Arabidopsis thaliana: one gene and its partner. The protein of the gene in region 1 interacts with the protein of each later gene in a pairwise test. Each region holds a gene or a part of one and is shown on either strand. Other genes may lie near its edges.

Region 1 (3,929 bases):
TGTTTATAAAGGATGGTAGTCTTTTCTCTTAGAGAGATAAAATATAACTGTAATTACCTTCAAGTTGCAAATAATAAAAATCAACTCCACGAAATCTAATTTAACCTGCAATATAATCATCGGTCACCACTTTCAATTTTCCAAAATTGTAATAAATATTATATCAAATCAAAACTTTTACAATAAAAAGCCTATTTTTCGAATTTAAGAATACTAATATATGTGACTGTACTAAACTCATTTAAGATGCACGTTATGGTTATGTTGCACATTAAATTCAACTTCCTAAGTTTGATCTGCATTCTTTATAAATTGGGGGGGGGGGTAAACTTGTAGAAAACATTTTTGAAGGATTTTTTTTTTTTTTTTTTTTTTTTTTTTGCATAAAACTCATTTTTCACAGTGAAATCTGCACCACCAAAAGGCAAAAGTTATATATAATTTGCAATGTTAAGGATAGATTACTGTTATTTTTTCTGTATTCATGTCAAAGAAATATGTGCATCATCAAAAATATTTAATCATAGAAAATAATTAAATAATTAAATCAGATGATAAATGTAATCAAATAATATATATTTTTCTTATAAATTTTACGTCCACGCATAGCATTGATTAGAACCTAGTACTATGTGGAAAGTTGTAACTTTTAGTTATTTGGTTTAGCTTGTATGTTACATTGAGAGTTACATATATAGTAGTAACAACTAGTGGAGACCAAAAGAGGTCGACGATGTCGAGACAAAAAAGAATGTGAAAAAGTATAAAATAGAAATGAAAAAAGATTGGCAGATGAAAGGGAGTATCAAATTATTGTGGGAATTGAAGTCGCTTCTATCGGATAACTACACGACTAGGTATTGCTTATGCAAATAAGCTATCTATCACGGCACATGAGTAGCCCAAGATGTTTTACTTCAAGCAGGCTAAGCGATTTATACGCTACATTAAATGGACCACAAGCTTGGGGTTGTATTTCAAATCCAGAAATGAATTGGGCTGGAAGCATGGAAGATATTAGAAGCACAATGGCTATGTGTTTCATGCTTGGAAAATTTGTTCTCTTTGCAACCACGGAAGCAATCGATCATTGCATATTGACATGAAATGTGGATATCAAACATGCACGCTCTTCTTGTACATATATAATAGCTCACATACTCTCATTGTCAAATGTCTTTCAAGGATTTGTGTAAGCCATAGTATGTATACCCTCTTCATCAGCAATTTACTTATAAGTTTTTAAATAATTTGGTTGTGATACTTTTAGTGATTATCTTTGGTTCATGGAGGCTTCTTCGTCCACTGAGTTGAAGAAAGGTACATGGGATGGTGAAGAAGATAGTCTCTGAGGCAGTGCATTGATAAGTATGGAGAAGGCAAATGGCATCAAGTTCCTTTAAGAGCTGGTATATATACTATTGTTGTAAACTATTGAGTCACTTATATTGATTAGACACAAGTTTATATTCCTCACACACAAATCTAATTTATTTACATAATGTAATTATCCAATACAACTTGTTCCAATGCAAGCTTAGATGGTCACCGATTGCCGGTAGATTGCCTGGTCGGATCGCTAATAATGTCAAGAATTACCGGAACACCCATCTCAACAAGAAAGAAGAACCGTGTTGTAAGAGCAGAATGAGAAAGAGGGAAACTACATGTTCAGCTACGTCACCGATCCAAAGACTCAATGTTATAAAGCCTCGAACTCAATTCTATAACGGCCGGCTCAACGGGCAGCCAGAAGTTAGCTCTTTCAAAGTAAGCATTAACAAATATGGTGGTATCAGATTCACATGTAACAATGATAAGACGAAATATGAGTTTGTGAACATTATTTGCAAAATTTTCAGTAAAGAAAAATACTCCAAAAGTTTTTGTAAGAAGGTGCACCCTATTTTTTTTATTTTGTTCTATTTCTCGTGCATGAAATAACTCTTCCTTGTAATCATGAACCCTCTGAGACCAATCATTACTAGTCCTTTCTCCTAATTTTGATAAGAAACGTGTAATTTGTTTTTCTTAAGTACTGGAAAAGGTGCTATGAACTTTTTCTCTAGTCAAATCAAACAATAACTTAGTAAATTAAGCAGAACCGCAAATACATGAAATGTGGATATCAAACATGCACGTCATTTTCCTATGCCCTTCACGTGTATATATATACCTATTCGCTCACATGCTCACATTATCAATAAGTCCTCCCAGGATTTGGGAAGCCACAATAACCCCCTATTCCTCGGCCTTTTTTAAAAAAGTTTTAGAATAATCCGATAAAATACTTTTATATTAATTTTTCTTTGGTCCATGGAGGGTTCGTCCAAAGGGTTGAGGAAAGGTGCATGGACTGCTGAAGAAGATAGTCTCTTGAGGCTATGTATTGATAAGTATGGAGAAGGCAAATGGCATCAAGTTCCTTTGAGAGCTGGTATGTTACACACACAGATATATTCATGACTAAGAATATTCTCTTCTCTATATATAATATTCGGAAATCTTTATTTTACTTTTCTTTTTGTTTTAAGGAGCAAATTATTGATTCATATGCTAGTGTATGGTAAAACAAAAAAAAACAAAAAAAACAACTGGTTATTCAGAATAATTCTTTATGCAGTTTATTTAAACGAAGAGTTTTATATAAATAAAAAAGTTATACTATTTTTTATTTACGTAGCATATATATATATATATATATATATATATATATATATATAGCTTATTCTTCACAAACAAGGAAGATGCTAAGCTCATGTAAAGTTGTTAAACTATTTCACTGGGCTGTCTTCTGGTGAGTGAAGTCAGTGAAAATTTATGAACAAACGGTTACTGTGTTGAAACAGTTTAATCTTTCTATTGGTGTGCTTAGATTCTTCAAGATGAAACATAGAAAATGACCCAAAAGCCGTCTTGGTTGGTATAATTAATGTCAACTATTGGTTATGTAGGGCTAAATCGATGCAGAAAGAGTTGTAGACTAAGATGGTTGAACTATTTGAAGCCAAGTATCAAGAGAGGAAGACTTAGCAATGATGAAGTTGATCTTCTTCTTCGCCTTCATAAGCTTCTAGGAAATAGGTATTGTTTACTTTAATGGTTATTTCAAGAGCCATAAGTTCAACACTAATAACTTATATGTATATTATTTAACAATGTTTAGGTGGTCCTTGATTGCTGGTCGATTGCCTGGTCGGACCGCTAATGATGTCAAAAATTACTGGAACACCCATCTGAGTAAAAAACATGAGTCTTCGTGTTGTAAGTCTAAAATGAAAAAGAAAAACATTATTTCCCCTCCTACAACACCGGTCCAAAAAATCGGTGTTTTTAAGCCTCGACCTCGATCCTTCTCTGTTAACAATGGTTGCAGCCATCTCAATGGTCTGCCAGAAGTTGATTTAATTCCTTCATGCCTTGGACTCAAGAAAAATAATGTTTGTGAAAATAGTATCACATGTAACAAAGATGATGAGAAAGATGATTTTGTGAATAATCTAATGAATGGAGATAATATGTGGTTGGAGAATTTACTGGGGGAAAACCAAGAAGCTGATGCGATTGTTCCTGAAGCGACGACAGCTGAACATGGGGCCACTTTGGCGTTTGACGTTGAGCAACTTTGGAGTCTGTTTGATGGAGAGACTGTTGAACTTGATTAGTGTTTCTCACCGTTTGTTTAAGATTGTGGGTGGCTTTTCTTTCGTATTTTAGTAATGTATTTTTCTGTATGAAGTAAAGAATTTCAGCATTTTAAGAAAAATGGTTATGTTTCTACGTAATAAAAAAAAACGTTATTTATATTTTTCGCAAAGAAAATACAGTATTTTCCTAAATGCAGTATTTTCTAACTAAAGTTAAAGGTGATAATGTTTGTTAAAATATCACTCAACCTAACCATAGAAAATTCAAAAGCATAAGAAAGT
Region 2 (3,929 bases), on another chromosome or scaffold:
TTCATCATCATCATCTTCAGACGGCGCTGAGATTGTGCTTAAGCTGCCTCGTAATTGGCCTGAATGGGCAATCCCGAAAGGTCCCGGGAAGGATTCCAACAAGCCTTAGAACATTTCAGATGCAACAGAGAGCCAAAAGAAGTAAATTTGAAGCTGCACTCTTAAGTTAAGCTAGTTATGGAAATCTTCTTACATATTGCTTTCTGTTTTTGTCAGGAGTTTATTTAACAATCTCTGGAACTACAACAAACTATTCTATCTACTATCAAATCAATTATTCATTCATGAGTATAATAATAGCTGAAACTTTCTGTGTTACAACAATTTCACCATAACTAAAATTGCATTTGCATTTGAATACTGCAAACGCAAATTGGCTTTGTATACGCATCTTGTTTATATATGGATTAGTTTTTTCTACATAATTAATGAAAGCTTTTGTAAACTAACTCTTGAGTACTAACTAATAAGAAAGTTCCGTGGCAAAATAATTTCCGAATCATCGGATAATCATCCATTTACGAGGTTAAGTTCCGGGAACTGCTGGTGTTAAGGTTCTGGAAGATCTCCGGAAGATTGGCATTAGTGAGTTTGATTCTCTTGCTGATCTGTTGTTTGCCATGCCATGAATATGTGCAACAGCTCTTCTCTGTGTAGTGTTCATCACACATGCTTCAAACTAAGCTTATGCAGCTCCTTCTCGACTAGCTTGTCGCTTGAGTTGTCTATGCCGCGGTATAGAGGTTTAAAGTCGTCATAAACCTGAATCTGACCCTTGAAATCAGCATTAGACAGTCCTTAAACTTTTAGAGCCAGCAAATATGAAAGACAATCCTGAAAAATGGATAATCATAAGACCACAAAAGTCTTTTGAAACCATTTAAGATCAGGAGCCAGTACACTATCCGTCTATCAGAATCTGGCAATAAATATTATCAGAAGCTTATTGATTATGAAGTTAATACATCTTAAATAGAATCAGTTAAGCGTTTTTTGTAAATCTAAATCACATGTGAAATTTCTTTATGTCACGTTTTCATTTGTGTAAAACAATATCTTTTGATTTATTAAGCAAATAATTTGCAGCTAAAGCTCTCAAGATTCAAATAAATTGAAATGTAAGTAGTGTAAGTAGTGATTTCTTATAGAAATAGTTGAAATCTAAAAGTATTAGGACACTGATGTAAGTATTGTTAAACTAAAGAGATCTATCAGGAAATCAAATCACTATAGTTTTTTTTTTTTTTTTAAATTCCTTGAGTTTATCAAACAAAAAAATGTAAATGTCCCTAGCAAGTACTGTAGGTTCATTTTTTTTGTTTCAAAAGAGTATGTTATTTCTTAAAAATCGCCAAAGATAGATAAGATTCGAAATTTGCATAAATGTGGCAATAAATATTATCAGAATCTTTTTATTGAATAATGAAGTTAATACACCTTAAATAGAGAATTAAGCGTTATTTAGATCTAAAACCACATGTGAAATTTCTTTATGTCACGTTTTTGTTTGTGTAAAACGATCTCTTTGAGTTAATTTGCAACTGAAAGCTCTCAGCATTTTACATTAATTGCAATATAAATAGTGATTTCTCATAGAATTAGTTCAAATCTTAAACTATTAGGACAGTTACGTAAACATTGTTAAACTAAAGGGACCAATATGGAAACACAAATCACTGTAGTTAATTTTTATTATTATCTTGAGTTTATCGTCTATCGTGTTCGAATTCTCTGTCGCTTACTTAAACACAGTCAAATTCATTTTCTGCCTTAGAAAAGATTTTTATCGAAAATCGACGTTTTTGAAAAAACTCAAATTATCGTCGTTTTGTTCTCAGATTTCTTCTGCTCTCTTCTTCTTCTCCTTCTTCTTCGTTCCACCGCCTCTGTTGCTTTATCTTCTTCTTCCTTCCTTCGATTGTTGATTACGTCGGTGGATCTTTGTTCTCCTCTGTGTTGTTTTCATTGCTAGATTTCGTCAATGATTGGCTTCTCACGATTCGATTTTTCCGGCTCCTGTTCTTAATTTCCTCTGAGGTAGATTAGTAAAACTCTTTGTCTCGTAAACATTGTTCGATGATGAAATTAGAAAGTTCTCACTCTTGTTTGCCAAATTTGGGATATTTCTGGAATTGAAAATGAATCGTCATTTTTTTCAATTTCTGAGGATTTTGTTACAATTGTTTTTTATTTATGTTAGAATTGAGATTGTGTGATGAATATCAGTAACCCTAGACAATTGTGAAATCAAAGCTATGAAAATCTTTTGATGCTATGTTTCCTATGATACAGAGAATGATGGATGAGGGATCAGTAGGGGATGTGAGTAGGATTGATGAAGCTGATGTTGCTCACCTTCAATTCAAGAATAGTGAGCAGTCGTTTAAACCGGAGAACATTGAAGTCCGGGAAGTAAAAGAAGTGCAGGTTCAGAGAGAAGCTGGTTCTCCTGATTGTTCTTATGGTGTAATAGCAGATTTTTTAGATGGTAAGAATGGTGGTGACCATGTGGAGCTTATAGGGAATGAACCATGTTCTAGCCGGCAGAATACAAATGATGAGGGGGATGTTGTCGAGGAGTTGACTGTTAAAACTTGTGAGGGATCGAGTATGGCTATAGTTGGTAGACCAAGTAGTAGAGCTAGATTAGAGATGAATCGCAGTCAGTTTCTGCATCGTTTTCCGCTAGACGGTGATTTACCGGGTAGTAGTTCTATGAGTAAGAAGGTAATTGACAGGGGAACAGTAAGTATCTTGAGAAATGCTGGGAAAATGTCTTTGCCTGAGACTTCAAATGGACAACTGGCTATTATTGCTGTTAATGGAGAAGCTAATGAACATTTGACAAATGTTGAACGAAATCCTGTACCTGTAGAGGCATTGTCTCATGAAGGCATCAAGACAAAGATGTTATCGCAGTCTGGGTTTTCTCAGTTTTTTGTTAGAAAAACATTGAAAGGGAAGGGAGTTACTTTCAGAGGCCCGCCAAACAATAGATCTAAAGCGAGGAATATGGATCAGCAAACTGTAGCTAGTTCTGGTAGCGCTTTAGTAATAGCTAATACTTCAGCAAAGATTTCTAGCAGCATCCCTTTGGCGGCTTATGATGGTTTGCCGTGCTTACCTTCCAATACCAGTAAACCATCTTCTTGTGCTAATCCTTCAGATACACATAGAGGTTGTGGAGGTGAAGGTTTAAGTCTGAGAGAATGGTTGAAGTCGGAGCGGCAGGAAGTTAATAAAGCAGAATGTATGTATATCTTTAGGCAGATCGTGGATCATGTGGACTGTTCTCATTCTCAAGGAGTTGTTTTATGTGACCTGCGACCATCTTCATTCAAAATTTTCAAGGAAAATGCAGTAAAGTATGTGGTTTCAGGTTCTCAACGAGAGTCTTTTGACAGCAACATGAACAAAGAGACTTTAAGTCAACTCGAAAACCCTCTGGTTAGAAGACGGTTAGGAGATACTTCTAGTCTCTCTATCCCTGCAAAGAAGCAGAAATCAAGTGGACCAAGCTCTAGACAGTGGCCTATGTTTCAACGAGCTGGTGGCGTCAATATCCAAACTGAAAATAATGATGGCGCGATACAGGAGTTTCATTTCAGATCTAGTCAACCTCATTGTAGTACAGTTGCCTGCCCTTTTACTTCAGTGAGTGAGCAGTTGGAAGAGAAATGGTATGCGAGCCCTGAGGAGCTCAGGGGTGACATGCGTTCAGCCTCTTCAAACATCTATAGTTTGGGTATTCTTCTTTATGAGGTATGCCATCTTAATTGTAGCTTTTGACCTGCAATTGTAAGTATGTACATCCATGAGTTGAAATGTGAATCTGCAAGCCCTTAATGTTGACACACATATATATGTTTTCCCGTGGGATTATGTCTTTAACTGGGACATATCGTGTGTGGGTCATGTTTGGGTCCAGA

What was found.
Region 2: the proteins of MYB90 (region 1) and SPA2 interact in a two-hybrid assay, tested with the Arabidopsis thaliana proteins (one study listed by BioGRID).

The regions. Positions count from the first base shown.
Region 1 is NC_003070.9:24,761,736-24,765,664, forward strand, and holds MYB90 (myb domain protein 90), read left to right. Parts: upstream 1-2,205; 5' UTR 2,206-2,316; coding exon 2,317-2,437; intron 2,438-2,954; coding exon 2,955-3,084; intron 3,085-3,166; coding exon 3,167-3,665; 3' UTR 3,666-3,806; downstream 3,807-3,929. UniProt on the Arabidopsis thaliana protein: Transcription activator, when associated with BHLH12/MYC1, EGL3, or GL3. Promotes the synthesis of phenylpropanoid-derived compounds such as anthocyanins.
Region 2 is NC_003075.7:6,769,868-6,773,796, forward strand, and holds the start of SPA2 (SPA1-related 2), read left to right. Parts: upstream 1-1,737; 5' UTR 1,738-2,037; intron 2,038-2,292; 5' UTR 2,293-2,295; coding exon 2,296-3,762; intron 3,763-3,929. Other genes in the region: AT4G11100 (gelsolin protein), read left to right, coding at 1-109.